Linked DNA regions of Styela clava. The protein of the gene in region 1 binds, or shares a complex with, the protein of each later gene. Links are inferred from orthologs where the notes say so. Each region holds a gene or a part of one and is shown in the gene's direction. Other genes may lie near its edges.

Evidence for each region.
Region 2: non-structural maintenance of chromosomes element 4 homolog A-like (region 1) and non-structural maintenance of chromosomes element 1 homolog share a complex: the UniProt entries of both Homo sapiens proteins name them as parts of the SMC5-SMC6 complex. The link is inferred for Styela clava from reciprocal best matches to the Homo sapiens genes NSMCE4A and NSMCE1.

The regions. Positions count from the first base shown.
Region 1 is NC_135257.1:6,218,567-6,235,433, forward strand, and holds non-structural maintenance of chromosomes element 4 homolog A-like, read left to right. Parts: upstream 1-8,028; 5' UTR 8,029-8,088; coding exon 8,089-9,084; 3' UTR 9,085-10,350; downstream 10,351-16,867. UniProt on the Homo sapiens protein: Component of the SMC5-SMC6 complex, a complex involved in DNA double-strand breaks by homologous recombination. The complex may promote sister chromatid homologous recombination by recruiting the SMC1-SMC3 cohesin complex to double-strand breaks.
Region 2 is NC_135251.1:24,040,380-24,057,728, reverse strand, and holds non-structural maintenance of chromosomes element 1 homolog, read left to right. Parts: upstream 1-9,461; 5' UTR 9,462-9,519; coding exon 9,520-10,317; 3' UTR 10,318-15,692; downstream 15,693-17,349. Other genes in the region: uncharacterized protein LOC120336825, read right to left, coding at 592-731, 1,025-1,111, 1,212-1,289, 2,203-2,276, 2,550-2,680, 3,088-3,213; disintegrin and metalloproteinase domain-containing protein 10-like, read left to right, coding at 15,784-15,841, 16,695-16,845. UniProt on the Homo sapiens protein: RING-type zinc finger-containing E3 ubiquitin ligase that assembles with melanoma antigen protein (MAGE) to catalyze the direct transfer of ubiquitin from E2 ubiquitin-conjugating enzyme to a specific substrate.

The DNA.
Region 1 (16,867 bases):
TTCCTGTATATATTATACAACTCGTTCTGGCCTACTGTGGTTCTAGTCATCATTGAATAATTTCCTCCTGGTCTCATTCCATCATTATAGTTGTGGAATACTACCAACTCAATAGTACATCCTGTCAAAATGTGAAAATTTTCGAATCTGTAGACAGTGGCTTGTCAAATCATAGTGTCTGATATAAATCAACTATTTACTCAATCATAAAACATATGTCAATCATTTAACATTAAAATAAATCCTCAAACACAACTGGCAATGTTAAATGCCAGTTGTGTTTAGGTTGAATTGCTCTACATTCGAGAACCTTTGACTTGATATATTAATCTAGTACTATTCCCTAGAAATTATTCTCCTCCTAATTATGTACAACTCGCCAATGGTGCTTTTTAAATTCATATTTTGTGATAGTGAAATTACGATGCTGCTTTATATTTTACTGTTACATCGACTCATACTATTATATTTATTTACATTTTTATTTATCATTCACTTGTCTTCTTATATATTACTTTGACATCCCTCTGCAAGCAAAAAAATATTATACATAATATAAAATAATGAATATGGGGGGGGGGGGGGGGAGCTGACTCTGATGACCGTATCGCTCCTCCCGGTCTATACCGGTATGTTAGTCGTTATACCGAATAACTTTATTGTTGTATATTTTTATTACTGTTGCTCGCTTCTTTTTCTGGTTGACAAATAATAAATTTCTCGAACTCGCGATGTCGATCAACAAATATAAAGAAAATAGACATGGCGAGTTAGCCCTCTCTCTCTCTCTCAAACTCGCGATGTCGATCAACAAATATAAAGAAAATAGACATGGCGAGTTAGCCCTCTCTCTCTCTCGAGCTCGCATCCAACGGCTGTTTAGAATAAAATGAGACTGGCGGTAGCGAAATAAAACTTTTGTAACTAACTAGGTTAGGTTGTATACCGTACACCGGTACTGTTGATTTATACTCACACAATCAATTAATATGGTGATATATTTAGCATGCTTAGATGAAAATGATAAGTTGAGACATCCTTTGCGGGGTCTCCCTAAAACCAGGCACTTGCGAATTCAGGCACTTTGATATTTTTTTATTTTTACCGTACGTCATTGGGGTTTCCAATTTAACTGACAAGATAATTAGACTTTAAATAATTTTTCGCATCCCTATATTGCAATAAAACAATATTATTTCCAATTTATTAGGGTATAAATAATTTTTCAATAGTAAAATGTGGCAACATTGATTACAAAATATAGAAATCAGGCACTTGTGAAATTTCAGGCACTTGGTCAAAACCAACGACTAACATACCCTGCTCGTGGTATTCAGTTACAAACTTACAATAGCAATTTTTTTTTACCGTCAAAACCTATTTTACAATGTATCTGATTACTCTAAAGCAGAAAATTAAATATATACACTTTGTATGGTTGAATTTACAACATTTTGGTAAAATACAATACCGTTTGTGACTGATGGACGCGTGTCATATTCCGCAAGTGCCTGATTTTTTATTTTTCTCGGTGACAGTTGCCATATTTTTTCGCAATTATTTTCTTAAATTATTTGCGTCAGCACTTACTATTCTTTGCTTTCTAACGCGAATTCATTGTTCCACAACAATTTGAGCGTTTTTAATATTGCAATGAGCAATACCATTTGACAACATATGGTCAAGGATCGTACTTTCTGGATTTATTTGAAATTGAATATGAATAATAAAATCTGGCAACCTCAAGCACAAAATACTAAAACCAGGCACTTGTGTGAAATTTCAGGCACTTCGTAAAAACCTATTTCTCGATGTTTTTAAACACTTTGAAGCAGAAAACTAAAATATACACTCTTTTTTATGATTGAAATGACGTCTTTTTGGTAAAAAAACAAAAACGATTGGGACTGGTGATGAGGGGTCAAATTTCGCAAGTGCCTGATTTTTCATTTTTTTCGATAACAGTTGCCATATATTTTCGCAACAATTTTTCTAAATTATTCGAGTCAGAACTTACTAATCGTTGCTTTTTAAAATAAATTCCTTGTTCTACAACAATTTCAGCGTTTTTACAATGAGCAATATTATTTGACAACATATAGATAACCATCGTACTTTTTGGATTTATTTGAAATTGAATAGGAAAGATAAAATCTGGCAAACGCAAGCACAAAATACTAAAACCAGGCACTTGTGAAATTTCAGGCACTTTGTAAAAACCTATTTCTCGATGTTTAAACTTACTTTGAAGCAGAAAACTAAAATATACACTCTTTTGTATGATTGAAATGACGTCTTTTTTGGTAAAAAAGAAAAACGATTGGGACTTGTGATGAGGGGTCAAATTTCGCAAGTGCCTGATTTTTCATTTTTTTCGATTACAGTTGCCATATATTTTTGCAATACTTTTCATAAAATCATTTTCGTCAGATCTTACTAATCATTGCTTTTTAAAGGAAATTCCTAGTTCTACAACAATTTCAGCGTTTTTAATAATGAAATGAGCAATATCATTTGACAACATATAGATAACCATCGTACTTTTAGGATTTATTTGAAATTGAATGGGAATGATAAAATCTGGCAACCGCAAGCACAAAATACTAAAATCAGGCACTTGTGAAATTTCAGGCACTTTGTAAAAAAATATTTCCCGATGTTTTTGATTACTTTAAAGCCGAAAATCCAAATATACACATTTTGTATGACTGAATTTGGTATTTTTATTGTCCAAAACAAGAAGAACTGTCACTGGTAGGAAATGTAGCAAGTTTAGCAAGTGCCTGATTTTTTGGTTTTGTCAATGGTAGTTGCCATATCTCTATAATTTTTGTCTTTTTTTTTATATGTTGTTTCCCTATTGCATAATTTTATAAAAGTCAATGTTTGTATGAGAGCTCCACTTAGCATAAATGGAATTAAACTTTTAACATCAGTATCTACATCCGGAAATCGATATTTAATTAAACCAATCACGCTTTTGCAAAACTATTTGAATATTGTAAAGTTTGAATGACATTGTGTTGTTTATTTTTATTAATTCAAAAGTATGACATATGTATTATTTAAATACGGGTTCAAATTTGACAGATCTGTAGGGAATATTAGTTAATCAGACGACATCTTTATAGTAATGTTCGGAACCCTTGAAATTGGTTCAAAACTTCTTCTAATTTGTTATAAACATTTCGACGTAATATATTACCCAGGTAGTAACAATCGCATCGTTATAAACAATCTAATTTGTCTTCTGGCAATATCAGTTCGAAATTCCAGTTTTAATTGTTATCGGACGACGATTTTAATAATGTAATTTGGCCTATGACTTCATATAAACTACATAACAGAAACAATTGACTTATGTCGTATAGAATCTTTTATAATACGTATCCAAGTCACATTATCCCCTAATAGAACATAATTTACCGTTCACAAAATTTATAAAAGCCTGTGCAAAATCTATATTGACAACCAGCGGTGTTCAACCACGGCTACAATATAGATATTCAATCACTTGCTGTTGCTGTTGTATAATATTCTTTACAACCTGAAGATCTGACTGTAATATCTTTTCATGGATAGTTTATGGAATGGATTTCATGGATAGTTTACGTAGAATTATTTGTACATTATTTCATGCTGTAACAGCTAACTGTAAAACACGTAGTTCCTAAATAAGAAGAATGGCTACAGGATGGTAAATACGAGATGGCAATGTCACCTAAACAAAATTCGCTCGGCAAATGACATCAGGTAGCTGATATGCCCAAAGTTAGGCTTAAAAGCATCGTTAAACGAATGTTACAATAAAAATCCTTTAATATTCAACACGCCAGTAGTCAGTCAACGAATTTTTTTGCGTTATTCAAAAAGTTACAAATATATAAAAACGTAAAACAGTAATTGTTTTTAATGTCACAGAAGCCGTATTAAACTCTCGATTATAGATCTTTCTCCATCAGTAATCGGGGATATAAATTTGAATTTAAATTTATTAAGGAGATAAAACATTAAAAACACAACTTCACAATGGAAGTGTATGAGTGAACACTAATCGAAGCTTTCAATTTTAAAATTATTAGAAATATTGAGTATCCAATGAAAATCCTTACTATTTGTTCTATTTTGACATGATATGATTTACGTATCTTGCAATTAGGTAAAACCACAGATCTAAGAATTGAAAATTTTAAATGTCAGTTCTGAAATTAAACATGAAAAGATTTTGTGTATATTTTGCTACTTTTATATGTCGGGCGTATAGTGTCTTCATGTCGCGAATGAGCATCAGAATAGGTTGTGCAGAAAATGGTGCTCCCGTAGTATGTGCACAAAGTTGGCACACAACCCGAACATAGTATGTGTACCAAGATAGAGGTATTAGGTTGTGCGCCATCTTGGAGCACATAGGCTACTACGGGAGCGCCCTGAAAATACCCACATTGGCAACACCGACTTACCGAATACAAATTTTACACTTCCACAATTTCGCTTTCGATACTTTCTCACATGTATCATGATAACAACGCTTGCAAACGCAGCATTGGTATTGTACGTGCTCCCGTATACATTTCGCACTTTAACAGACACTCCAATTATTATTTTCCAGAAAGCAAAATTCATGCATCGGAATGTCAGAGTATATGAGTGGCGACGATGCAGTGCGACAACGTTCCAAATGTGATTGAATTTTTGTTGACTCCGCCTTGTTCAATCTTCCATATGGGCGTTTTGAAGAGGTATGTACTCACTTCAAATATAAATACTTGCACCACCCTCGGGCAGACGTCGAATTGAAACTAGCGATAAGAATAGCACTCAATATACATCGGATTGTCTTAAAAAACATTTCAACGAGAAAGCAAAGTATAGTAAGTACTAAGTTCTGACGAAAATGATTTTATGAAAAGTATTGCAAAAATATATGGCAACTGTAATCGAAAAAAATGAAAAATCAGGCACTTGCGAAATTTGACCCCTCATCACAAGTCCCAATCGTTTTTCCTTTTTACCAAAAAAGACGGCATTTCAATCATACAAAAGAGTGTATATTTTAGTTTTCTGCTTCAAAGTAAGTATAAACATCGAGAAATAGGTTTTTACAAAGTGCCTGAAATTTCACAAGTGCCTGGTTTTAGTATTTTGTGATTGGAGTTGCCAGATTTTATCATTCCTATTCAATTTCAAATAAATCTAAAAAGTACGATGGTTATCTATATGTTGTCAAATAATATTGCTCATTGTAAAAACGCTGAAATTGTTGTAGAACTAGGAATTTATTTTAAAAAGCAATGATTAGTAAGTTCTGACTCAAATAATTTAGAAAAATTGTTGCGAAAATATATGGCAACTGTTATCGAAAAAAATGAAAAATCAGGCACTTGCGAAATTTGACCCCTCATCACCAGTCCCAATCGTTTTGTTTTTTACCAAAATGACGTCATTTCAATCCTAAAAAAGAGTGTATATTTTAGTTTTCTGCTTCAAAGTGTACAAAAACATCTAGAAATAGGTTTTTACGAAGTGCCTGAAATTTCACAAGTGCCTGGTTTTAGTATTTCGTGCTTGAGGTTGCCAGATTTTATTATTCATATTCAAATTCAAATAAATCCAGAAAGTATGATGGTTGACCATATGTTGTCAAATGGTATTGCTCATTGCAATATTAAAAACGCTCAAACTGTTGTGGAACAATGAATTTGCGTTAGAAAGCAAAGTATAGTAAGTGCTGACGCAAATAAAATTTTTGCGAAAATATATGGCAACTGTTATCGAAAAAAATGAAAAATCAGGCACTTGCGAAATTTGACCCCTCATCACCAGTCCCAATCGTGTTTGTTTTTTTACCAAAAAGACGTCATTTCAATCATAAAAAAGAGTTTATATTTTAGTTTTCTGCTTCAAAGTGTATAAAAACATCGAGAAATAGGTTTTTACGAAGTGCCTGAAATTTCACAAGTGCCTGGTTTTAGTATTTTGTGCTTGAGGTTGCCAGATTTTATTATTCATATTCAATTTCAAATAAATCCAGAAAGTACGATGATTGACCATATGTTGTCAAATGGTATTGCTCATTGCAATATTAAAAACGCTCAAATTGTTGTGGAACAATGAATTCGCGTTAGAAAGCAAAGAATAATAAGTGCTGACGCAAACAATTTAAGAAAATAATTGCGAAAAAATATGGCAACTGTCACCGAGAAAAATGAAAAATCAGGCACTTGCGAAATATGACATGTCTCCATCAGTCACAAACGGTATTGTATTTTACCAAAATGTTGTAAATTCAACCATACAAAGTGTATATATTTAATGTTCTGCTTTAGAGTAATCAGATACATTGTAAAATAGGTTTTGACCAAGTGCCTGAAATTTCACAAGTGCCTGATTTCTATATTTTGTAATCAATGTTGCCACATTTTACTATTGAAAAATTATTTATACCCTAATAAAGTGGAAATAATATTGTTTTATTGCAATATAGGGATGCAAAAAATTATTTAAAGTTCAATTATCTTGTCAGGTCAATTGGAAACCCCAATGACGTACGGTAAAAAAAAATATCAAAGTGCCTGAAATGGTGCCTGAAAAAGTGCCTGAATTCGCAAGTGCCTGGTTTTAGGGAGACCCTCCTTTGCGTGTCGAGTACCGTACGTTTTCTTGTCACTTTGTTATCCCTTGCACAGTATTCTAACCAAACACATTCAATTTATTATATTTGCCCTCACGATTGAAGTTGTAAGTAAAACAGCCACCTTTCCATCTCCCATTACAAGAAGACCCTTCGTGCAGTTGCAGGCATACCGGTACCGTACCCGTTAACCGCCGTCGCATGGCGAGTTAGCCTCCACCACCCCTTGTATTGAGTCTGTTCCGCACACATCTCATTCATGTATTCAGCTACCATTAGCAGAGGCAAGCCTATTACAAGTACTGATTTACATTATATACAGATAGGTACGGTACCGGTATAATTTAAAAGCGGGAGATCGATATTTAGCCCAATGCTCGAGACATAGATCAGACGTCGTCAGGTACCGGTACCGGTATCACAGTATTATACTGCGTGAACACCCCTATAAAATTTTAAACCCTCCTCTGTTTGTTAGCTCCTCAATTTCCGTTTTTTAATTCTAGGGTATGAGCTGATTGCATTTGCAAATTCATGCAGTCATTTGTCAACTTATGAACTCATCGCTCATGACGAAAAAAACCTCCACTTACTTGAATTACCGTATCATTCCCAACTACTAATCTGCTAATTGCATCTTGAAACTATACAAAGATACATGTTTTACTTAACTTTGTAGCCAAATTAGTTTAAGCATAAATTCAACCGTAAGACTCAGACTTTTTCTGTCTTCTGGTCATAGCCCAGTAGTCATATACCAGTATACCGTAACAGTATAATGATATACCGGTACCGCATGTATTCTTGTTTGCGATAGAATTTTTCATCAATTATAAAAATGCGTATTGAGGAAACTGGGTTCGCAGGGGGTTGAGAAGGCTTAAAATTCCTTGTATGCTATCTATTACTGTATCATTCATACATTCAAATTTTGTGAAAACTGTGCTAGTTGACGTGTAATGCACGAATTTTCTTGGCAAAATACTGCTTATAAATCCAGGGATTTTGTGCAAAATTTATAATATTTTAGTTTTGTTCATTTTTGAAAGAATTTTACAAACATGTTTTTTGAAATAAAATAAATATCACAATAATTAGGTCTATGTAAAACAGAAGTTTTGGTAGGAAAACTGACATTTTGAGTTGGTACATGTGTTTTCAATTAATGTATCATTCTATGAGTTTTATAAAAATCAATATACATATATAATACATAATAATATTTGCATTAATAAATTATTTTATACTTCTTGTTCTTGGACTTGCTTATTCTTTGTTTTAAGTTGGAGAATTTGGTTATTGTCTGATTTGGAAAGTTTGATATAATTGATATGCCAATAGTAGTAAGATAATCACATTATTTTTACTATAAGGATTGGTGCCTATTTGACTATATCAATTCAATGTTGTTTTAGGTTATAGTCCTAGAATACAGTGTATATCTCATCAAAATAGACATGGCAGAAAACGGAGATGAAGAGATGGAGATTTCATCTCTATCAAGCAAATTTATGACACCTATCCAACGTGCAGAAAGGTTGAAGATTCGACAAGAATACAGAAAACTGATCAGTGAAGTCCAAGACAAAAAGGAAGAATTTGTAAAACCAGAAAGTGGAGATTTATTGGATCGTGTCAAAAAAGCAAACTCTCTATTTCAAAGGGTGAAATCAACGAGGGAGGGAGCTTTAGATTCACGGTTTATGGCATTATCAGTGTCTATTGCGGGGCAAACAACAAATCAACTTCAAACAGATCTTGTGGCATTTCAACCTGAGGAATTCATGGAAAAATTAGTGACCAGAATGGATGGGCGTTATATTGGTGAAGAAGAAGATGAAGTTCATATCACTTCAGAAGGATGGGAAAATTTCGGACAATATTCCTCTAAATTTTTTTCTAGCGTGAACCCTGTATTGAATGTTATGTCTGGTACATTTGAGCACAGTGCACTAAGAAGGCGACACACACAGTCTGACCCCATAGATAACGATACAGGGACTAAAACACAGCCGCAGCACCTTACACATTTCGAGGGGGATCGAAAAGAAGCCACACCAGAAGAAATTGAAAGAGTGCTTGGAGTGATTCAACAAATGTATGAACAAGATCCAGTCCCAATAGACTATTTTGAACTTGTTGTAAATCCGGATTCTTTTGGTCATACTATTGAAAACATGTTTCACATGGCATTTCTCGTCAAAGATGGCTTTGTTCGTGTGTTTTTAAATGAAAATCAAATACCAGTTGTTGAGCCAGTCAACCAAAATGAGGAAGATAATACTCAAACCGAAAAAAAATGTAATCAAGTCATGGTATCAATGTCAATGGATGAGTGGAGGGAAATTATTGATATTTATGAACTAGGAGGAAGAGCTCCATTCATAGAACCTTCAGAGCCTAAAAGCCCTGAGAGAGCTAATGGTCCATCATCAAAAAGAGTTAGAAGCTGAGTACCTCAGTGCTAAAACTTATGACTGAGTATGAGCTGAAAAATGATGTGATATCACATTTGAAATTTAAAGGCAGTTGTGAGCTTAAAATCGCAACCCTTGTGTTCAACTATGTTTCATCATCTTCTAAGTGTGTTACATAGCATGAGTTGGGTGATCCTGGACTGTAGTAGTTTGCCACATACAGTAGGACCAAGGTAATTTGGTATCTGATCATCTGATGCTATTTGATCAGTATCAATAAGTCATCTAGATTGATTTTTATCATAGATTTTGATAAGTGCTTTTATCCTTGTGTATGAACTATTCAGAGATAGAATGTAATACTTGGAATATTGTTTCAAAGATTGTCTTTTTGATTCTTGTATGTTAATGTGTATCTGATTTTCCTATGAATCGGCCGATTTCATGATGAACTATAGAGTGAGATTTTCATTGATTTGTAATGCAGAGTCCAAATAAAATATGAAATAATTCTTATGATAAATATGAAATTCTTAATTCTAAACATACCGTGATAAATTGTGCACTTATCGTCTGAATGAGTTGTCCAATTCCATGTGGTATTTCTATCAACCAATGGGTGGACTGGAACTGAATCAATTGGGGCACACTTGACCTAGACGTTTTTAATTAATACAAAAGCAATGATTTCAGGTGAATTTATCATCCAATTTGACATGAAAACTATAAACATTTGATTGTCGTGTTCGATTGGCATACAGGCAGGCCATGGATAGAAGCTATTGTTGTGCTGAATGAATCACTATGTAGCCTATATTGTTGACATAGTTTTTTTACCTTTGGCTGCAAGTCTATATCATGCCCAAAATATCACACCTTTTATACATTGGCCTGATTTGAGTTATGTTTTAGTATCTTTACTCCAATCCTGCATTTGAAGGGGTGAAATGGGTTATCTTTTCAATATCTTTACTGCAAGTTTGCGTTCGAAGGGATGAAATGGCCACTTTTTTATTAATAAATTTTGGAATCATTTTCTTTTCTCATAATTCTATCGTTTTTACTCTTCATGATACTCTAGTATTTTCATACCATTTGGGGCAAAGGTTGTAACCATTTGTTGAGTTTTTATAACATTGAAAACATTTTTGTGATCACGTACCATGAGAGTCAGTAGACCGAGCACTCAATTATTCACATTGTCCCAAAGAAGATTGTCAACCGATGATATCTTTTTATTGTCAGCAGACCGGCATCGTCCTTTTTTATGATCGACGAAATATACAAACACAAACGAAGAAACCCATAGCATTGCATTGCTAGTAAATTATTGGCCTTCAACTTCACAATTACGTGTTTCGCCGAGCCATAAGGTTGTGTTTCAGAATAGACTCGATTGAGTTTAGGCGTTGCGTTTATTGCACAGATTCTTGTTATGGGCGACTGATGACCCAAATCGCCAATTTTTAATACTAAAAAAGCAGGCTCTCTTGGGGAGAGACTCTCTCTCTCTCTCTATAAAATAATGCATATTAAAATTGCATGTATTGTCAGCACAGTCTTATGCAATTGTTTGTTTCACACTGAATGGATTCTAATGGCAATGGGAGAGCGAGATTTCTTATTATGTCAACCAAACAATAGTCAGGCGTGTTTGACATTTTATTTTCATGGAGACTCTAAACTTGAGATAGCGTTGGTGTATTGAGAAACTTGCGTATGAATGAATGCTTTTTGTGGTTTCTCAGATTTGGGCAAGAGCTCATGCGGAACTAAGCATCTAAGGGGCAGCAGTAAAGCTTATTCAGGACGCCAAGCCTTTTCGTTGGGAAATTTAGGAGCGTGATGCTATATATTTCAAATGAATGACCATTTAGAAATCGTTTTTGGCGCTTTCTCGTGACATCCTTACCACAGCGATAGCTCTTAGACGTGGTGTGCGATATTTTCTAAAACTGGAGACGCGACTCTACTGGGGGCCTTTTGAATGTGTTTTATGAGTGATTTGCAGTATATATTTATCGGGGATTTAAGAGTGCACTGGACGAAAGCGTGGTAGAGAACAGAGGTCGCAGGTTGAAAGTAGGGGACAGAAGCAGAGGTGTAAAGGAGTCTTGGTTGGTATGTTTGAGTTGGCGATTTGGATTCAAGTAAATCCCTATTTTGGGCTTTACTGTTACTTCAAAAAAGTATTTCTACATACATTAATTACTATTGTGTCGCGTCCAAATTTTATAACGTATCTCAATTACTGGACTTAAATATATACAAGCTGAACCTCGAAATAGAGCTTCAGAGACATTTTGGATACGTATTTTGACAGAAGATGGATATCGAGAAAGATTTTTAAAACCATTTTAAATTATGCCAAATATTTGAAGAACAGGTTTTGTTTTGTATCCAATTCACTAACAACAGGTTCCCTCATTTTAGAAAATGTATGTATTCACTAAGAAAGGTGTGCTGCATTACCCGCTTCACTGCGAAAGCGTTTTAAAGATCGAAATTCGATTATCCAATTATTTTAGAGTTTTTTTTTTCTAATATTGTTGACTTTTGAAGCGTCATTTTTGCTAATTCGCAGTGGAGGATTGTGAAAAAGTCGCTGACAACGCGTGCGTTTGTATTTTGGTAAAATCGCTGATTGTTTTCGTCATCGTGACGTGTTATTTAAGCCGTAAAAACCTTTACGTCGGTGTTTATTCCCCGTCAATGACAAATTTTCCCCAGCGTATATGTATGTGTTTTGAGCACAGTGGGTTTTACTTTTTTTCCCCGCATGAAACTTTGAAACCAGTGAGAAAGAAGAGTTATCATAATACCCATCGGCGACGAGATGCTAAGATAATTAAAGGAGTGAGTGACCAAACCAAATTTTCTTGATTAAAAAGCGGCAATACAAAATACTAAACATAAACGGAAACACCGTAAGTTTCGATTTAGAATGCCAGCGACAGTTTCAAAGCACTATTTTAGATACTGTAAGCTGAAAAATCCCATGTGCCTACGGCACATATTTAATAATTGGCTTTAGAAACGATACAGTCATTGCAAATTGAAACACAGTCAATTGTGTGCGCAAGGTACCTTTGATTAATTCTAAAATTAGGTTAAACAATTTTTTGTTGTACTAAAATAAATTTTGCTTCGCGGAATTTTATCGCATAAGAAGAGATTTGTCCAATTTAAATATGTTTAAAATAAAGTGCTGCAAGAACAGCTCAGATTTTTCGAGCTCACGAAATCGCAAAACACGATAAAATCGGAGACTTAATGAACTTTACCACACATTTTTATGTCCGCAGATTGTCGTAGTATTTCAGAGTGATAATGCTTTTATTTTGTCGAAGCTGCCACAGCTTTAATTAAACACAATTAAATCAATAAAGCAAGACATTTTAAATACGCACGTATGGATTGATTACTTTGTACAAAAAATGATCATTATCCGTCAAAAACGTCGGCTCTTTACTATACTTTATATGTATTTTTATTCACCTAAATTAAATCGTACTCTCTGGGATTTGATAGCAGATCTTAAGATTTTTCTAACTGCGATGACGAATTCGCAATACGTATCAACACTGAATGTTATTTGATAGTGTTTCTCACATTTTTATGTTTGCAGATTGCCATGTTGTTTTAGTTGTGCAAATGTGAGACAAGCATTAACTCTTTGAACTCTGACGGCTCTGAGCGAAGTTACTCGCTCACCCTGAAGGTTCGCGGCGCCGTATTGGTTGAACAATAAAATAAGTCTAAATACTGGCTATTTGGCACGCTTGTAACTTTTTACCAATTATAGGTAGCACGTTGTGAGACATTTCAATCGAAAGGAAATTTTATCGTGCATTCAGAATGTATTTTCCATTTTGAAATACAGTTTGTCAAAATTAATAAAATTGACCCTAATCTAACAGTCATTTTTCTGCATGTATGTGAGTTTTGGCTTGAAATTTTGTTAGTTTGGTACAAAATATACTGCCAATATTTGATGTTCATAAAGAGTTTTTTATAAGCTTTTTGTTGATATTCGAATTACTATTGTGGCTGCCATATAACCAATTTTATATTTAAATATTTAATTGTGTATCATTGTGTCGGGTGAACAACATCGATAAGCGGCCATGACGCACTGATTACGCAGCTACGCAAAAGCCGATCACGTGACTACCGTCATGAAGATGTTGATAAGTACGTTCGAAACGTATTGCGTGGCAAAATGCGCAAGATAACTTTCACGACGACGTTCTCAGCGGAACATCGGTCGCCGAGTTTCGATATGATATTAACCCTGTATGGATTGAAGTACCGACGTCGAGTAATGCGTGCAGTAATAGCGAAGTGAAGTTAATATCGTCATATAAAATTTCACGTGGAAAATGTTTTATTCGCCCATTAGTATTTGTTCAAATATCAACCAAAATAAGTACTTACCTGCTCTGCAGATCAAAATATCTGATTTTACGAATGTTAGGCGAAGCAAGTGGATGGAATAATATCTGAGAGCACTAATACTGCAGAAAGAGCAACTCTTATTCTAACAAGATCATATCCGTCGCCAGAACTAGATACCCCACCGCAAAACGCCAGTTCTAATAATAGATGCGTCGTATGCAGCAAAATTTACATTATTGCCAAAAAACCAATCCAGCTGCTAAAGACAAAGCGTTGCTGAAACGATGCGAGACAGTATATAAGTACAAATACTGTAATGAGTACCTATGTATAGGTAACGAAACCAACAACCATTGGTATAACTGGCACAACAAAGTGCAATATTGGATTTAGTCTGCCTAATATTTTCATGTTCTTCATTGTTCCGGGCACAACGAAGTGCAATATTCAATTTAAAATTTTTAGCAAGCAGTCTTTTATGCACATACATTTTTCATGGTCTTTATTGTTCCGTTATCCGCTAATAAAATCACAATCTTGTTCATATTGCGTATACGTAACCACAACTTAATGGGCTTGAGCGGGCAGTCAAAGTCAAATCGTAGTGCGAATTTTGAATGCGTAGCATCGGGTTAATTAATTACTTCCTGCGGACATTTGAATAATAACATCTCGACGTAACGTTATTGCGGATATCGTCACGTTTAGTTGCATTTGCGTAATATGCGTAAAGGTGTGCGTGACGAGACGTTGCCTCTCTCCAATGAGAACATCAATTTGACGCAGCGTCGCTGTTAAATCTACAGATAATCTAATATATTTGGTCATAAAATTTGAATGGCTCGTCGTAAAATCGTTTTGGATACGTATATAAAAAGCTATTCAAATTCTCCACATATATTGCCGATTGAATATGTGGCTATTTAGGCAAGAAGTCGAAATTCTTTATATTAAATATTTGTTATCATACAATAATTTCATACGCACTTTCAAATTGCCAATTTTACTGAAACATCGTATATTAGAGCACCGATCATCACAATATAATTAGTCCCAATAACGAGCTTTCATGCAATATAAAATTTATTTAAATACTCATTGTGGTTCTTGAGATACGAGATCATAAAGTTGATTCCCGCCGACACGAAAAACAAGCCGGTAAACCGGCTTGCCGGGGCACAGAGCGTACTCAAACAAGCCGGTAAACCGGCTTGCCGGGTTCAAGCGGTTAAGGAGAAGTAATCGCGGCGACTGTTTCAGAAGTGGTACCATTGGAAATTTTAAATTTGAGTCAGATTGATTTCTTTCTATTCGGTATTGGGAATTAGGATTGCGCACCTTGCGTTTGCGTCCATTGCTAGCTTGTGATCAGGTGACTACTGCGGTACCGGCAGTACTGTACTATATTGTACTGTAAAGTCATACCCGTACTATTTCGTTTTGGCTTTCGTGTCCATATATTTGAGCGTCGCTCTCTTGTTTTTCTTAATTTTTACTGATGACGACATCTACAAAGTTAGGGTTATTTTGTGCTCTTATTCAGAAAATATATTGGAATTGTCATAGTCGTATACCAAGTGCTGGGTTCAAGTAGCCTACGCTTAAAAAATCACTCAAGTAACAAGTAATTTTATAAATATTAGTTGAGTACTTACAGTAATTAGAGACAATATAGTATATTTTTAATATATACCTTTTTTATTCATTGTATGATCGTTTTAAACTTTTTCATAGGCAGCTCCTCAGTGATGCCATTTTCAAGATCTTTAGCAGTCTCATTAAAAAGATTAGTTGAAGAATGTCGCGAAAGAAACATTTTTTGACAAATATTTTACAATTGCAACTTCACCCTCTGTCAAACATTTTAATTCTTGGGCGATCTTTCTTAATGTATATTCAATACGTCTCCCGTGGCTTCCAAGAATCGTGTGAGCATCTTGAGCAATGAGTTACATACAGTAGTGGGATTCAGCCGGTTTTTGTAACAGAACCGCCTGAAAATATGACGGGACAAAGGTCAGCGTTTTCCTTAGCGTCATTGGGCGTAAAACCTTCATGCTTGTACGTGACTTGGTTGCGCCTGAGAAACCTGCCACTAAAGCATTTGCAGAACTTTGTGAAGTGTTGAAAGATCACTTGTCGCCAGAATCACTGGTTCAAACGTAGGCTTACCATAGGTCCCGTTTTAGGCGGGACAGTCCCACTTTTAAACGTCTTGTCCCGGCGTCCCGACCGGTCAGCCAAAAGTCCCGCTTTGGCGTTCAGCCAGTCCGAATAATACACGAACAAAACCAATTCTCGATATTGTTGCTGCTGTGTAGCGTACTGGTAGCCTACTTACTGAAGGTGGTGTTGTGTGTTTCGTTGTTGTTGTCGGATAATTGCAAGCTCCGTACGCCAAAAGGGTGCTCAACGTTAACGTAAATTCTTTTCTATTTTTCGAATTTGGACAGAGAGCACATGAACTCTCGATGACATTATGTTCAATGAAGACAGGCGGAATGGTTTTAAATATAGGCCCCTAATGTAAAATCAGTACGTTCAAAGTTGAAAAAATCACAGCTTGGGCTTTGGAGGCGTCCCGCTTTGAGGTCACGAAAATATGGTAACCTTATCCAAACGGAAAGATTTCGTTTTCATCAACGAAGTCAAAAACATGGAGAAAGTGTGTCTGTCAGCTTTTTACGCAGATTTAAAGCGCCACTCCACCACATGTGAGTTGGGTGCCGTGTTGGAAAACACACTTCGCGACAAATTCGTAAGTGGACTGAAATGCAGCCATATAATATACAAAATCGATTGATAACTGAGAAAAATTTAACATATGAAAAAGCATTGCAAATGGCTGCAGAAGTTGAAACTGCTGCCAAAGATACAAAAGTGCTTCAAGGCAAAAATACTGCAAATTATGAAAGTAAATATGCTCATTACGTGAAGCGTAATTCGTAAAAGAAATACTACAGGTGTGGTAAAATTGGACATTGTCCAGATAAATGCTGATAGAGTTATATTGTCTGAATTGTAATAAAAGAAGTCACACCTAATTTATGAGCAGATCAAAACCACACCACAGAAGAAACTCCCAGCCGCGACCTGGGCGTCAACAAAACTTCACAAAAGAAGCAGAGAAAAGTGTCGCTGCAGATAAAGTGACATCAAAATTTCTATCGAATATAAAAGTGGCAAAAGTAAATGGAGAAGAAAAAGTGTTCATTAATGCCACTAATATCATATGGATACCTGTCAAAGTAGCAGGGAAATAAATACCAATAAACACCTACTGCTGTAAAAATGAAAACGTATACAGGTGACCATAAAATCACTTGGGCTGCTACCAGTTGAAGTTTAATGTGGAAATGAAGGGGAAAAACTGAAATTGTATGTAGTCGAAAAAGAAGGACCACCATTAATAAGAAAAGAT
Region 2 (17,349 bases), on another chromosome or scaffold:
GACCCACCAGTGGTCGCGACCCATAGTTTGGGAACCGCTGGACTACTGCAATGCAAATATACTCATATATACGTTTGTTTAGTTGTTTTGGATAGATCTTCTAGTTATACAAACTTTTACTTCAAGTTCCATCACAGGCTCGTTTAGAATTATTCACATTCTACGCCCATAGTAATAAGGAATGCGTCCTTATTATAACACTGCAATCATTCCCAACAACTTCAAATATTAAAAGGGGAAAAGTTTTTGCGAAGATTGCCAACAAGTGCGTTTGTACCCTTATATTGACTTACTGAATCTTTCGACATACGAAAATGAAATGTAGGACTACAATAAAAAAAATCGTTTCCATGGACCACAAACTGAAAGATTTGAATTATTTGAGATATATTTAACGAATTGAACCATAAAGAGAAGCCGCGATTTGTTTTGGGGAAAAATATTCATACTCATGGAAATTAATGAAGAGTACATATGGAAAATAGTAAATCCGTCTAATATTTCAGGTTATATATTGTTAGACACGAAGACAAGAGAGGGTATAGCTGAAATACTGTATATATATTTGAAATGATCTTTTAACTTCATGAATTACTTTTCCATCTCCTTCAGGCATTTCTTTTTGTAGAATAATTTTCCTGTTATATTGTGATCGTCAAGAACATTCCAAAGATCCACTAGTTGATCAACTGTAGGATTCGTTGTAGTTAACTTGATTGATGCAATATCTCCTGCAGAAAAGAAATCCGACGATCCGTAACCGTTTTTTTTAAACTTGTATTGAATAATTTAAGCTAAAGGACCCGAGTCAGGGAATGCGATTTCCTCGCAGTTATTCTCACAATATGTAATAGCATCAAGTGGTGATTCATTGGGTATTATGGATATTTCATAAGTTGAATATGTTATTCAGAGTCATAATCGAATACTTTCCTTTATCGGAATTGCCCGTTATAGGATATAGCACATATCTGGCAGTGCGTTCAGTGCTTTTACATATTTCAAACGTTAATCTCTCCATTACCTTTAGTGCTTGCTCCACAGAAAATAGCAACAAAATAATTTTCATAATCAGTTATCATTGTAAAGTCGTTGAGTATTTGATGTTCAGCTGTAAATAAAACGGTTTGGAATGAAAAGTAAATTTTTAGATTATCTTATCATAAGAGAAGTGACCTGCCAACCGTTTTCAATATATATAAACCTTATACCTTCGGCAATCTTTTTTTGCAATGTTTTTCCAATGTTTCCTACGTTTGCTCGTGAAACGGCCCGATCATTATTTTTCTCTAAAAATACAATGCATATAAATTCAACTTTGGAAAAATGTAAGGTGTTTTTCTATAAAATTGAGTTTTCCTACCGCAGCGGTCTCCAAGTTGTGCGCCGCGAAAATGAACTGAATAAGGCAAACATAACTAAAATACGATTGCATATTTTACATTGTATTTATTATAAAATTTTCATTGTTTCTTATTCACTTGTTGTGTATATGAATCAATAAATTAATTTTACCTTTCTATGTCGTTTACCTTCTGTTACGCAGTACCTGCCTCTATTGTTACGTAACAATAAAGATAGACAGTACGTGCTGGAGTTTCGTGAGCGGCAGTTTTTTTTTATTTTTTGAACCGAGTTTAGCGAAATGAGTGTTTTTTTAGGGGAAGGGATGAGAGAGAAAGGTTAGTATTCCCGAAGTATGTGAATCAAGATGGCGGACACCGGAACGTAGTATGTGTACCAGCTTAGAGTTAGGCCATAATTCCAGGTACAAATACTACGGGAGTCACCTATCTAGTCCCCGAACTCGTAATAGAATTAAAATAAGGAAAATTGGAATAAAATTATGGCCTAATCCTAACCTGGTACACATACTACTTTTTGGTGACCGCCAGCTTGGTTCACATACTTCGAGAGTACCAAAAAGTTGACCTTTTGCCTTCATTTCTTAGGTTTACATGTTTACAAACTTTAAAAGGCATAAACTACACATTAACGATCACAAAGTTAGGTTTTATTCCAAAGGGGCAGTTTTTTTTTCGTGTAAGTGCGCCGTGAAATTTTCCTGCTGATAATTTGGCTTCGCACGAACAAAAGGTTTGGGAACTGCTGTCTTACCTACTTTCCTTTCCTTCAGATGATATAAATATAAAAATCGTCTCCTCGTTTACTTGGTTAAGTTTGAACATATTTGATACTCACTTGACTGATGTGCAAGAGCATAGATTCCAGATCCTTTCGACACCACTTGAAGATCGTAATCATGAGATTCGAACCTATATGATATATTGTAAAGTTTCTTTAATAATTATCTAATTTATTAAATTAATTATTAATAAATTATTTAAATAATTAATTGATTAAGTTAACAATTAATATGCTATTATGCTATCAAAGTGAATTTTCTGAATAGTTTCCTCGGTCTCGGTTTTCCTATCCATGAATTGACTATATTGCTATTCCACTCAACGGTTGCTGGTGTGGTTTTGATACTTTATGATGAGTATATGTATTATGATGAGCAATTATATTTTCATTTTATTTCTCACCCCATTAGGTTTATAGATATGGTCACATATACGCCGTCGGGCATGATGGTGATATTGCGCATGTGATAACAATCCAGGGCTGCATATGTTGCTGGAACAAAAAATGCATCGTACCAAATTTTGCCTTGAAGCTGAAACACAGATGGGTATTAGTGGAAATATGTGGAGTTATACGTAACATACAAATTGAGAGATTCAAAAAAGTGGGGAGGGATAACTTACTTACAATGTAAGGCAGGAGGTGTGCAAACTTTATTACAGGAGGGCCCCATACAGATAACTTGATGAAACCGCGGGCCGCACCTTAATTTAACAAAGGCTTTCTTGTGGTTTCAGAAACAAAAAATTGGTTATTGATCTTATGACATGCGTTGTTCGCTTTGCACAAACTAGCTGTTATGGCATTGTAACGTCATAGGCATAATAAAATGGACTCTAGAAAGGCTTTGCAACGCAAAGTGATTGTAATTACTCGCACGTATGTGATTAAACTAAATTAATAACTGAACAAACTGGCACTTCTCTGCGTGCATATTACCTTTGTCCAATCCACAATTTGCTTTGATTTGCTGTTCTTGCAATCGTTTGCGGTCACGGAGCAACAAAAAACAATGCAGAGAAGACAAACTGCTATTTTCATTTTTCCCTTTCTGTATCTGAGCATATTTTCCGCAGATATCGAAATGTATTTTACCCGATTAGTTTCATTGCAAATTGATAGAAATAAATAAAATTATAGAATATTATTATTCGACTGTCAAAGATGGACAAGGCGAATGACTTTTTATCGGTATCGCAGAAGGTCACTGATTAAGTCAAGGATACAAAGGATTTTCAGTCAGCACGATGACATGTCTCATGACAACTCATTAAAGTTTTTAAATTAAACTCAAAATAAAACCCTGATTAAAAATTTGACTCAACTTTCTTCTAAATTTACAAATTTTACCCACTTGAATAATTTGGATTGGATAATCAATTCGAAGCACACAAGTCGTGTTTTTGTCTCAACAATCACAAAAAGATTTTCGATTTATCCTTTAAATAACAGTGAGCAAAATATATCTCACATTAGGCCAAAGTACCAACTACAACGAAAAACTTCCAAATGAGCAGGCTTTCATCCCTACTCTGCTGGGAGCTTTTGAATATATTTCGTGATGAAACCTGAAACGTGCCGCCTGATGTTCTCGATCGTGAAACGAAAACATCAAAACATTGAAATGTGTACCGAAGGCATCACGTACACTTTCCTCGTCTTGAAAAGGGTGCGCGTAAATACTAGAGTTCAATATAATAGGGCTATCTTTTGTTTATTTGCTTGCAGTTATAACGTAATTAGCTATTTTTTTTTATTGAAACATCCCCAACAACCACAATTAATTTTGTCATTAAATGTCCGAAACAAACACATAAAATCATCAACAAATGCATATCACCAACTCTTAAGAAGATATTGCTGAATTGATCTTTTTGTTACCATTTTACATGTAATGATTTTTGGTAAACCTGTTATCTATCGTAATTACAGCACATTTGACTATGTTGTAGTGTAATTTTTTGGCCTAACTTTTTTGATATTTGTAGTTAGATCTCTTGGGGCTCTGTCAAACAAAGTTACATACAAAATATTGGTTGTAGGTTGCAAAACATGATCATGTTGTTGGAATAACTTGGCATTTTACCACCCGTAAACCATTCATTGTCGAGAATATTGATGAAATCATAAAATCTAAAACCCGTTCTCGTGAATTTTTTGTTTCAAGTTTTGTTCGAAGCATTATTTGTTGACGTTTATCTCAAAGACCGAATTGTAACTTGCGGTACTATTCGCCGATCCCCACGGTCTGATAATTCTAGAAATGAAGATTTTTCTAATCTCATGAACACTGTTTTACCCTCATTATCAGAACATATTATAATGATGGGTGACCTTAATTATGATCTGATGGACTAAGTTGATAAATCAATATTCTTTTTATCCCACTATAACCAAACCGACCAAAATAACCAAAAACAGCGCAACAATTCTTGATCATATATGGACAAACATATACGAGCGAAAACCTGTCAGTGCTATTCTAACTGATGCAATCTCTGACCACCTACCTGTAATGCAGTGCATGTCGACAGAACAAAAAACACTTAAAAACGAAGAAAACATTTTTCCTCGATCATTTAATCCGACCAATATGACTAAAGTATTCTTACTACAGATCGCTTTTGAGTAAAACTTTAAACTATCTGAAAAATCGTAGCAAACAATGAATACCCTGCTAGGTCGATGCAAATCTAAACTGTCAAATGTATTTGGTGTAGGAAATAAGGAAACGTGTGATCCTGTATTGATAGCTGATCATTTCAATGATGATTTTTTTACGTTACAGGAAAACGAATGGCTGATAAATTCACTAATGATAACGACGGTAACTTTATGAGGTAGGCTACATGAGCAAATCTAGTAACTCATCAATGTTTCTGGCATCGGTAACAGCCACAAACATACAAGCTATTATTCGAGCTTTTAGACCTAAATCCTAAATCAAGCTTGATGGAGTCCCCATTAAAAGGTTATCAGAACGATGCAATGGAACTACATGCTCTCTCTTATACATGTTTTTAATCCTTCTCTTCAATCGGGACCATTTTTAGATGAATTTAAAATCGCTAAAGTAGTACCGCTTCATAAAGGCGGAGACTTAAAAAATGTCAAAAACTATAGACTGATTAGCTCAATGCCATCTTTTTCAAATATTTTAGAAAAAGTCGATCATTCAACAAAAAATATTAACTTATCATGCTGAGTACGGATGGCGGAATCGAGTCCGGAGTTAATACTAGAATCGATTCCGATGAATTAGAATCGAATCTCGAGGTTAAAACTTGGATTACAAACAATGTGTAACGTTTTGTGGCAAATCCTTCACTTTCATGCATAAACTGCTTTACTGCTATGTTGATTTGATACGACACCGCAAACTGTACAATATATATTGCTAGAAGGACTCTGCGTTTATTATTATCTCCCTGAGTTCTGAGGTTTTTATTTTTGTGCGATTTTGTTTCCTGTGACAGATTGGATACTCGTACTACTTAGTTTCGGCCTTCTTGTCCGTCTGCGAAAAATCGCCACATTAAACTTAAATTTAAGGCGCACATGCACCTTCTATTGCTGTGCTGAAAACCTTTCACAATGAGACGTGTAGCATGTGTTGTTTTTATTTACTTATTATCAACGTGGAGGATGATTTTGTTTCTGTGTCAGGGCCAAAGCGTTAAAATCAATCGACCTCCAGCCAACGGCATTCTGATTATGGAAAGTACTGATATGCATTTTTTACAATAATATCATTTATCATCGAATTCAAGGTGGCAGGATTTTATTAATTTTACAAAACTAATAACGAGATGCACCATTGAAGTCGGTGCCCACACAAGTAATAGGAAGAAAAAAAGAAAGAGGGATTTACATTTATTTGGTAATTACAGAACATAAACATATGCCAGGGATGACGAACCACTGACCCGCAGGTTACAAAGTGAGCCATCGCGTTTTATTCGTGACCCGCCAAGGCAGGAATAAAATTAAAAAAAATGCTAATATATCAAGAATAAAAATTGATAAAACCGGCCTTAAATTAATCTAACAATAACTGAACTATTATAATGTACCGTCAGTTGGGCAGTCAGAGCTGCGATCGCTCATATTCAAATTGTTAATTTTGAGAGCCGGTATGGTAATTTTCAAAACCCCTAATCTTGGACGCATATCTGCATCGCTGTTATTCAGCTATTGGCTTTGACATCGTTTATGACTTAACAATACAATCGATCTGTTCATTTCTCACAACGTCTTGTCTTGTCTCTTTCGGAAGTACATCTGCAGACTGTTTTGGAGGATATACGAGAACTAGATGCTACTTTGCATTTTATTAGTTGCTCGCCTACGATGCCGTTGGGAAAACAAAATCTTTCAGACTTGAAATAAAAACCTAGAAATCTGAAATAACATTGGGGCAGTGAAAAAGTGCTTCACTGTGATTGAAAGCTGATCGAAAAATATAACACCATCAGAGTGGAATTACCTCCAAAATCTTTGAATCCGTAAAATATTTTTTCCGAATTATCACGTTTTGGGCAACGACTAACGGTTTTTGGTAATTCATATGCGTGTTTTCGTACTCTAATTTTATAAAATCGAGTGCCATAAAAATTCCACGATAGAAGTGCTGCATAAGTAAAGCCCAAAACTACACCAACAGAAGCCCATAAGATTTGTTTCAGAGGTTTTTTATAGATACAAACATTGATTAAATATCTGAGACCATGGTTAACCATGCTGAGACCCACTCTCTTCCGTTCCGCGATAAAATTATAATTTTTGACCATCTAAATCAGCTTCCGTGTGCAGTTTGGGGTCAATGATGAGGGAGGTGGACAAATTGTACATAATAATCATTATTTGTGAAATGGTCAAGAGTAAATTATTTTACGTTAGCAGTTCGCATAAAAGCAAACCGTCTGCCAGAAGGTGGCAGTATTGAGCCAATAAGGATTTGATTAATTTTTGTTAGATAGCCTATCACTAGAACGCAGGCGCCGTTTCACAGTAAGCCTGTCTAGCTTACCGCTACCCGCGAGTTTATTACAAATTGCCTAGACAGCGTAGGTTTATTTGTTAGTGTACGCCGTACTGCATGTAAACTAGCTACTAGCAGTAAACTATTACCGTAATACCCGGATAATGCATACATATATCATGATTGTAAGTTGAAAGATCGAAATAAAATTGTATTGTAAGAATAGGATTTCATAGGCTACCGGTAGCTCTGAGGAAGTCTGTAAGTAGACTTTTTCTCATCCTGTTATAGCCTAGCTTTTGGACTACTCGTAACGCTTCCCTTTTTTCATCGGACTAGAGAGCCAATAGCTGAATACAGGAATAACGGTACACAGCGGTGCTGATTGCTCACCAATAAAAATCGGTTTAAAAGGTTTTTAAATCAATAATCCAGTAATATCTGAATATGAAGATGCCAACAAATTTTTGCTCCACAATTGTTGACTAACGTAAGTTACCCTATTATCGCCACTTGCCAATTTTCACCACACTCTCTTAAAATCGCACTGCTGCAGTTGCACTTCAGCACTTTCAGATAGCGCTGAATACGAGTTGTTTTCGGATTGCGACGTCATAAGTGATAAGTATGAAACATATTATGTCGCCCGGTGGAGTACAGACATTTTAATAAAAACATGAATTTTTGAAAAATATAAAAATCAACTGATATCACGCGCGGTCAACTTTTTGGGAGGCGGTAATTACTAATTATCAGCCCAAATAGCGCGACGATGTTTATTTCTTTTAGTTTTTATCAGTCCGTGTTAGATCTAGGTTGAATCAAGTTTGACATGGGAAGTGTTTGTAAAAATTGTGCTATTATTAACTCTCGCATCCACAGGGTGGCGATAATAGAAAAAGAAACTTATGGCTCGCCAAAAGAGAGAACCGAAAAAATCGTGAAAAAACAAAGCAGCAATGCTCAAATATATGAGCACGAAAACCAAAACGAAGTGGTATCAAATCTTCCACAATAACAGTAGTCTCCCTTATTAAAAAAAATTCCGATTTCGATGACCGCCAGAACGCCTAAATGTGATCGCAGAACCGCCATGCTAAGATGCACAATTATTTATTTTGATGACCTCATCGCATAAAACTTAGGGAGTGAAAAACGAATCTCGTAGGGCCGACAAAAATGTTTGAAATAAATAAAAGTAATAGCCTTTCAGCGGCCGCAATAATATTTAATCGTTGAAAATTTCAGAGCAATTGATTATGTATTTAAAGAGAAAAGCGTTTGGAAAAAAAAGTTTGACATAAGTGGCGATAATAGGATAATCGTAGTTCCTATTATCGCCATACCCACATTTCTGCTATATTCGTGAGGTGTCGCTATAGCAAATTCATTTCGCGACTCAATGCTGTTGGCATTTTTTTCTCCGATTGGTAGCTAATGTTCCGGGACAATAGAGAAAAAATTGTTACTTTAGAGTATAGTAGTCTTCGGATGGATTGCAGTAAAAAGTGACGATAATAGGGTAATTTATGTTACATACTAGCTTGCAAGATTTGGCCTGACCGAAAAATGCGAAGCAAAAAAGACAGTATTTCAAAATTGCTTAGCGCTGTGGCGCATCGTGTTGAGTGATAGGAATCCCGTGGGAATAGTTATGGGCGAAAAGATTGGCAGACTAGTCGGCGCTGGTCAGTTATGGCTCTGATTCAGCGTATTTTTTATACAATAATTTTACACGGATGTACTGAACAGTACCAGTATCTGAAGTCGCACAAATACTCTCAAAATTAGTGACAAGGTATAGAAATAATATTTGGGGTCAAAGGTCAAATGTCCATGTTCAAATGTTTGTTCTGATTCAACATATTTTTATCCAATAATTCCATGTAAAAACACTCCCAAAATTAACAGATTAGTAAAAAGGTATGTTCATTTTGCTCTGTTTCAACGTATTTTTGATCCAATAATTTTAAGCGGATGTACTGAACAGTACCGGTATCCAGAGCCGCACAAACACTCAAAATTAATGACAAAGTATAGAAATAATGTTTATGGGTCAAAGGTCAAACGTCCATTTTTGCTCTGATTTAATGTAGTTTTTATCCAATACCAGTAATTTAACGCGGATGTATCGAACAGTATCTAAAGTCAAAATCAGTTGCACGTGAACGCAGGTGTTTTGCATGTCATGAGCTATAATTGCACGCCTGGAATTCTGATTTGCATGCGGGAATTTCTGATTGCACGCCCGATTTCTCGTTCAAAAAGGCCATGAAATCCAGACTGGCCTGGGCATATACCACCATATTTACCTCTTATTTATTTGAGTATAACTTTCCTTTACAGATTGTATAAAACAATATAAATATCTGTATGATAGCATAACAAAAATGACTGCATATGGAGATGCCCAAAAATATTTTTTGCAAGCTATGATGCAAAAAGGATCAGCGACTGACCATGAGTGTGACTCACTCTTAGATGAGTGCTTCAAGGTTTCAGAAAAAAATAGAGACCAGTGGACACTATCATCGTTTATAACATCTGTAAATAAACAAATTCAACCTTTCCACCTAGAAATAAGGAAAGGCAATGATGAAGATTCTGGACAAGATGTCTATGCACTAATAAGTGTCACAGATCATGATATAAATCATTTAGTAATTGGAGGAAATTTCACGAAAATAGAAATTGAAATTTTTCACCGAGCTGTTGATCTTATCGTTAGCTCAAATACAGGAATGGTTTCATCTACTGATATCCTCAACATAACGGAAGAATTGCCTCAGAAAAATATTTTGAAATCTGAAATCGAGATTCTGATTACAAAGCTTGTGAAACAAAATTGGATTGGAGAGAAAGATGGGATGGTATACCTCACCCCTCGTTCAATACTAGAGTTGGAACCGTATATAAAAGCTGAATTGAAGAATGAGGTTTTATACTGCAACATATGCAAAAGTATGGTCTTAAAAGGAGTTAACTGCAAGAGATGCAGAAGTAGAATACACTTGTACTGTGCCTCCACTTATTTCAGGGGTAGATCAATGGACGAATGTAAATGCCCAGTCTGTCATGATGTCATGACGTTACTTCCATCCTTGCCCAATATGGATACATCTCGTGTAAACGGAAGTATGGAAGGTCTGACACCAACAATTAATGAACGTAGAAAACGAAGGCGATGAATGGAAATACTATTCTATACTCAATAACAAAGATTATGGGATATTTCTCGACTATTGTGAATGCTCCACACTTTGTCTGGAGCATTCAAGTTATTTTGAATGAATAAGATTAGGTTTCAGAGTGAAATCATATGCCAAACTGTGTCAATTTTGTATAACAAAAAAATACTTCATAGAACAACATAGTTAAATGGAGATTACTAAGCTGTGTTAATGTTTCGCATAACTTCGTGGCAAAATGAACATACTTTTCAAAGTTGTTTAATGTTTTAGTATATTTTTCAATTCGGTGTGCCACCCATTTATGAATATGTACATACACTAGATGTGATACTATGTAATATTTTACAAAGTATATTTGCTTTATACATTCTAATTTTAGGTGAATATGGCAAAAATTATGACTACCAGTGTTAACTCTAAGCAAATTATGAGTGCGAAAGTGCTTCGCAGTCCAAAAAAAAAGTGCGAAAGTGCTTTTGCCGATTTTAACAAGTTAGGTGCCCTAGCCTTTCATATAACCCATTTAAAACGGCATAGATACTCGAAAAAGCGCTCCTCCGGTTAATATTATGAATTAAAGAGAAGCCTTTTCGTTAACGGAATCCCTTTAAGCGAATTCATGTTTAATTAAAACAAGCGAATTCATCGGCAACGAAATGACATCTGCTAACACCTGCCTACCTACTTTCATGCAATGTATCACGGTGTCAGTTGCTTACTCGCGTAAACAGCAAAGACTTTCACATTTGTTACTCCTTCCATCTAACAGACACGAGGCCGGCTGGAAACCATATTAATTACAGGGTGGATCGTTTGTACAAATCCGGTGCAAAATAATCCCCCCCCCCCTCAAAAATAAATAGCAATCAACTAATTAGGGTTAGGTGCGCTAGAAATTCAACTTTTCGATTCATCCCTAAACCTAATCTGATAATTATTAATTTGTGATTTTGAACCGCTTTGAAAGTCGCCACCCGCTGTTTTAAAAGATAGGTTAACCTACGTTCCCTCCGAAATATTATGCAGGATACTCCCCTGTTTTAGGAGATAGGTTGACCTACTTTCCTTTCAAACTTTTTTCTCCGAAATATTACACAAGATCACTTTGAAAATCCTCCTGTTTCGTGAGCTAGCGTGACCTAATTTCTCATTTACATTTATATTATACTATTTCAGAGCTTCCCCAAAGACAAGTAATTTTTAAATGTCCACATGCCTTGGTTTGCGTGCGAGTTAGTTTAAATCGGGCAGAAAACATCATATATTGGCAAAATGTTTAGTAATGTCATGTACTTTCAGCATTCATAAATAGCACTCTTTGTAATGCTGCTGACCTAGTATCAAATATTCGCATCACAACGCCACTTGCGAGGTTTCCATATATTTCAATTACACTAATAGGAACGATGACATCAAAGAGTTTTCTTTTGCGAAGGTACACTAAATATAACGAGGGTGATTCTTGAGAAAAACATGAATATAAAAAATAAACGAATGATATGATAATGGATCCCAAATAATTTTGAGAGTGTCTCGAAATACCAATCCATTTGATAAATAATTTTTATTCGACCACATGAACGCTGATATCCTGAAAATTAATGTTGAAAGCGAATTACGCATTCTCAAATATCGGACATTCAGTCCCGATATTCAATCGTTCATATGCACAAATCTCACATTAATAGTAATTGCTACCCAAGTTTGTAAAGTTTAGAAACCAACAAACAGAAAATAACTAACCTAAAACACAATTAAAATTCAGTCGGCAATAAATTCGTCGCCAAGACGATGCCATACAAAACAAAAAAGATTTGGTCGCGAGAGTTACGTGAGATGACTGCCTTTGTTTTTTAAGCAGAATGTAAAAAAATTTATAATTAATAAACGGGAGTTACGACGCCCTTTACACATCGTGTGTATTAAACTTCCCTGGTAGGTACTTTGGTGAGTACTATTATTATTGTACCTATACACCTGTTGGAGTATTTCGGACAATTTCGAATTTAAAATAAATGAAAACCAGACATATAATGAAGACGCAAAAGTAAAATGAACATTTATTGAAAAAGTTATTATTTAAGAAAGACAACATGATCGTACAATTCCGCCAAAACCTCGATGTTCGCAAGTGAGATGATAAATAAATACTTCCCTGTATTCGATCAATTAACTTTAGCGTATCGTTGTTCTGCCAACAAACAGCCGGGTGCAAAATATTTCCGTCCTGTGATATGCTCAAATATTCCCGATATTAATATCATACCCTCGCGTATGTACTTTCTATTAGCTCTTTAGTGATCCCTTCCATCCTTGGCCAAGTCATGTTTCGAATATGTGAACATTTTATTCGGCCATACATGGCCGGCGGGATGTTAAAATTGTAAACAAGAGAGAGGTAAAATCAATCGCGAATTTCGTTATAAAGGCTCGTTTACGAATTGTTGCGCCTGTTATCGTCGAAAATGCTTACACTTGCTGTATTTTGAGGCATTCAAGCAGTAATAATTAGGGCATGACATCATCAAAATCGTCAAGTGAGATCTTGATATTGCAAATTCCGTAAATAAAATTGCGAATTATTCGGTAACGAATTCAGCTTTAATGACCGTCGGGGTATTGTTTTGTTGAAAATTATTATTAATTTGAGAGCGCCAAAAACATACAGTCCATACCGATGCGACTGCAATTTATATGGTCGCAATTGGTGTGGCGCGTTTATTAATAGTGTAAAATAAATTAAACGAATATCAATTATAACCAAGCCTGTCAGCGTGTTTATGTTCTGTGGGCAGGAATTGTAAAATACCATCTTGAGACAAATTCACTTCCATTATAAAATCTTAATTTTCAGTTATTATCGTTATACAAATAACGTGTGGCAACTTTTTAATTTATCGTCGATCAAAAAACCGCCCCACACTCGTCCAAACGTGTGTCGAGCTTGAACGACAGGAACAGATTCATCGACGACCTTAATTAGGGAAAATATGTATTTTATTGGGAATGCAAAATAAATGTAACAAAACGCATGTTTTGTGATATAACTTTGTATTTTCGGAAACGGGTTGCCGTGAAAGGTAAAATTTGATCTAAATTAATTGCAAAAATGTTTTATTTTAAATGTAACAAAACACATTTTGCGATATAACCTGGTATTTTCGAAAACGGGTTTCCTGAAAAGTAAAATATGATCTAAATTAATCGCAAAAATGTTTTATTTTAAATGTAACAAAACACATTTTTCGAGATACAACTTTATTTTCAGATACCGGGTGTCATGGAGAGTAAAATGTGATCTGAATTCACCGTAAATGATGTTTCATTCCAAATGTATCATAACGCATTTTTTTGCGATATAACTTTGTATTTTCGAAAACGGGGCGTCACGAAAATTATTAATCTAATGTTTTATCTATCGTCTAACTAACGTCTGGAACACATCACTAGCCCGCGAAACGTCATTTAATTTAAAATAGAGAATGTTTCACGCATTTCAAAACGAAAAATCACCAGTAAGTGGACAGGGATTCAACCCTCCGGATTCAGTATTCTATATCCCCGTGTCAGAACTTTCTGAAGAATGGAACAAAGAACCCGTCAAACCGCCGCGGAGAAAGGGGAGTATTTTTGCACTAATAATTAGGGCGTGACAACATCAAAATCGTCAAGAAACTGGTGAATTTGCAAATTCCATAAATAAAATTGTGAATTGCTCGGTAACATTTTAGCTATAATTATCGCCGGGGTATTGTTTTGTTGAAAACACGTTGAAACTTGAGGGAATTAGTTACAATTAGCGCCTGACGTCTATTAGGCACTCGAGCACTCGAAAAAAAAAGCACTCGAGCCCAATCTTTTTAGCATTAAGTCGCATACGTAAAATATTCTGTAAAAGAAGTGCTGTTCATTAACGTCATCTCGTCTTATGACCACGCAGAAATGCCTTTATAGCCGAATTATTCAATCACTATTTCAAATCCACATTCAGGATTGGCACAATTTCAGATTTGCGAAGTTTATCACCATAGAAATACATGAGAAAGTTAATTATCGTCTTAACTCTTAATAAATATCTGCATCACGGTATGGACAATAATATTACCATTCGCATAAAATTGGGACGGTAAATTTACAAATCTTGATAGGTAATATTAAAGCCAGCGCAAATGTTAATTTGAGTCCTCAATGTCTTTAACAGCTGTTGCCGATGTGAACGAACAGGTAAACCCGAAATATAAAACTTCGATGTCCGCCGACCCACAAGAATTCATATTTGTAAAAAAAGAGAGGGCGGGAATACAGATTACCCAAAACCTGGATATCGCCGCCAAACGATCGGTGACAAGAACAATTAGCGATTACAACGGAATTAACCAGTAAAAAGGCTTTGTTGCCGATTTTTTAATGTTTCCACCACGTTTATTCGGTACTCCTTAAAAATATTCGATTTAAAAAAATATTGAATTTTGCCCACCCCTCCTCGCATATCAATGACGTCCTTTCAACATTGTGATTACAATAAAATGGCACTTAATGGTATTTTGTGAATTTGTTGATTTTGCAAATCTGTGACATGCTGCTAAAAGTTTCGTCTGATTTGAAAATAGTGCAGTTTGGTCACAATTCATCCAAAGTGACTATAACAGGTTACTAACACTTTTTATAGTCATTTTGAATTCATCGATATCATTGATAGTCACATGACCACTCTCCTTCAAAGAAACGCCGCCCCGGGAGCGTTTTTTGCGGAGAAGCGGAATCCGTGTGCTTGTATAATAATCATATTATAAACAAGATTTTGCCGTTAATGCAAAAGCTTTATCTCCTATGTCTGCATTTCATAGGTTAGAATTCCGGTAAATATCGTTATGATATGCAGAATTGAGTTACAAAAGTACCAGTATGTTACTTATTTGTCAACTTAATACTCGAAAATATTTGTTAACTTTGAATTTTTATTCCATTCAAAATCGGAAAAAAGTGCTATTTCTCTTCAAAATCGGAAAAAAGTGCTATTTCGCAGTCCCTAAAAAAAGTTGCGAAAGTGCTTCGCAATTTTCGCAAAAAAGTGCGCTAATAGTGAACACTGATGACTACCCTGGAAGAGGTTATATTTTACAAAAAGAGTAGCAATTATTATACAGGGATAATTTCTAATTTCATCCGAAATAAGATATTTTGTCATTATACCTTGAAATATTATTAGTTTAGGAACAGGAAATGCCTGATTTTCTCTTATATTTTTTTGTTCAAGATTTTTGACATAGAGTTAATGGATCACTTTTTAATTTACAATTTCATTGGACATCATCAAATCCAAACATTTCTACTGTAATTTTCAAACATTTTTGTTTTTTCTACTTCTTAGATTTTCTATGCTAATTGTTTACCAGTAACCTCAACATACGTACACTCGTACTTTTCATTTACGTTCATTTCCCTTGTCTTGTTTGAGGTACCATGCTGTTATTGAAATTATTTGTGGCCATCGCATTGGTGCTGTTTCACACTGTAGAAGGTAAGCATGAATAAAATTCTAGTAGCTTATAACTAGAGCTCAAAACAATAAACAGGGTAGCATGGGTATTCACAGACTTTAGTTTAGAACTCTAATCAGCAATTACCTTCAAATTTACGTGTCAACTGCATGACTGAGTAAATATTTTTCAAAATCCTGCATATGTATATCTGGAACATACAAAGTGGTTACTTTAATACATCTATATTAAATTTTAACCATCTAAAGCAGGGGTTCCCAGACTTTATTGGCCGCGAGTCAAAATTTGGAACGGAGGGATGTTCGCAGGCTGGAAAAGTGCGCGACAGTTTAGTTGGGGCTCAGTGAATTCACCACTTCATTTATCGAAAAAATGTCAGTTTTCGGAGTCTAGTTTTCGTTTTTGTCTTGACATGTCTAAGCTTATATGGTTCATAACTAAATTCTGCCTTATGTAATCCTAATACTGGTACGAATAACCGCTTTAATCGAATTGTTACCATAAACGCGTGCTTAAACTGTGATATCACACTCGGCGCTATCCAGAATCGCCTTCTTTCGCAACCAAAACCTCAACTTCTTTATAGTTTTTAGCACTTAGAGATGGAGTCTATTATTATTAACCCTTCATTTCTTTCACAAAAAGGTAGAAACAAAATTTGTTGCATACTTGTTCACTTAAGCTCGGCGGGCCCTTTTAAATCTTTACGCAGGACACATTTGCCAGCGGGCCGCGGTTTGGGAAACCCTGATCTAAAGAATGATTTGAAGTTGAAAAAGCAATTTGTATGAAAAACGTAACAGCATAACCAGTGTGTGATTAACATTTCTCTCAATACGCTTTTCTAAAACAATTATCTATTTCACTTTACAGCCAAGGGACCTCACCAGCATATCAAATATTACGAAGAGTTGAAGTATGATAGATTGCAGCTTCTCGAACAACATGAAAGAGTAAAAAGATCAACTCAAAGCAGTAATGGTGGCTTAGGACATGTTATGCTTCGATTCCAATCTCATGGAGGGTAAAATATTTGTAGCCTCAAATGATGATACTCATTAAGGAAGTTTCAATAATCACAAGAACAGATTGTTATGTTTTAAAAATTTGTCAACCTTCATTGGATTATTTTTAACCATAGAAGGATTCTTTCGAACCTGTTAGATTTCTCATGTATATGTGATTACTTCATTAATAAAGTCATATTTGTCTGAATCAACAAAAATTGTATTTAGTCTTATATATTTCAGATTGATGAAAATTGTTTTTAACACAATTATTCAATGTACTTCTCCATTCCATACAATCTATAATTATTTCTAGTTATATAGTAACGACTGAGTGGCACTGTGAAATTACCTTGTCGTTGGAGTTCAATGCTCCCATTTCAGGTTTCATATTTCCCTTTGCTGACACAAGTTAATAATTTATGCCGTAATGGAGGGCTATTAACTTAATTTGTCTTTCATGAAAGGGAACACTGAACTGCGATATAGCTAGGTATATCAAAAACAAATTGGTAATTTTG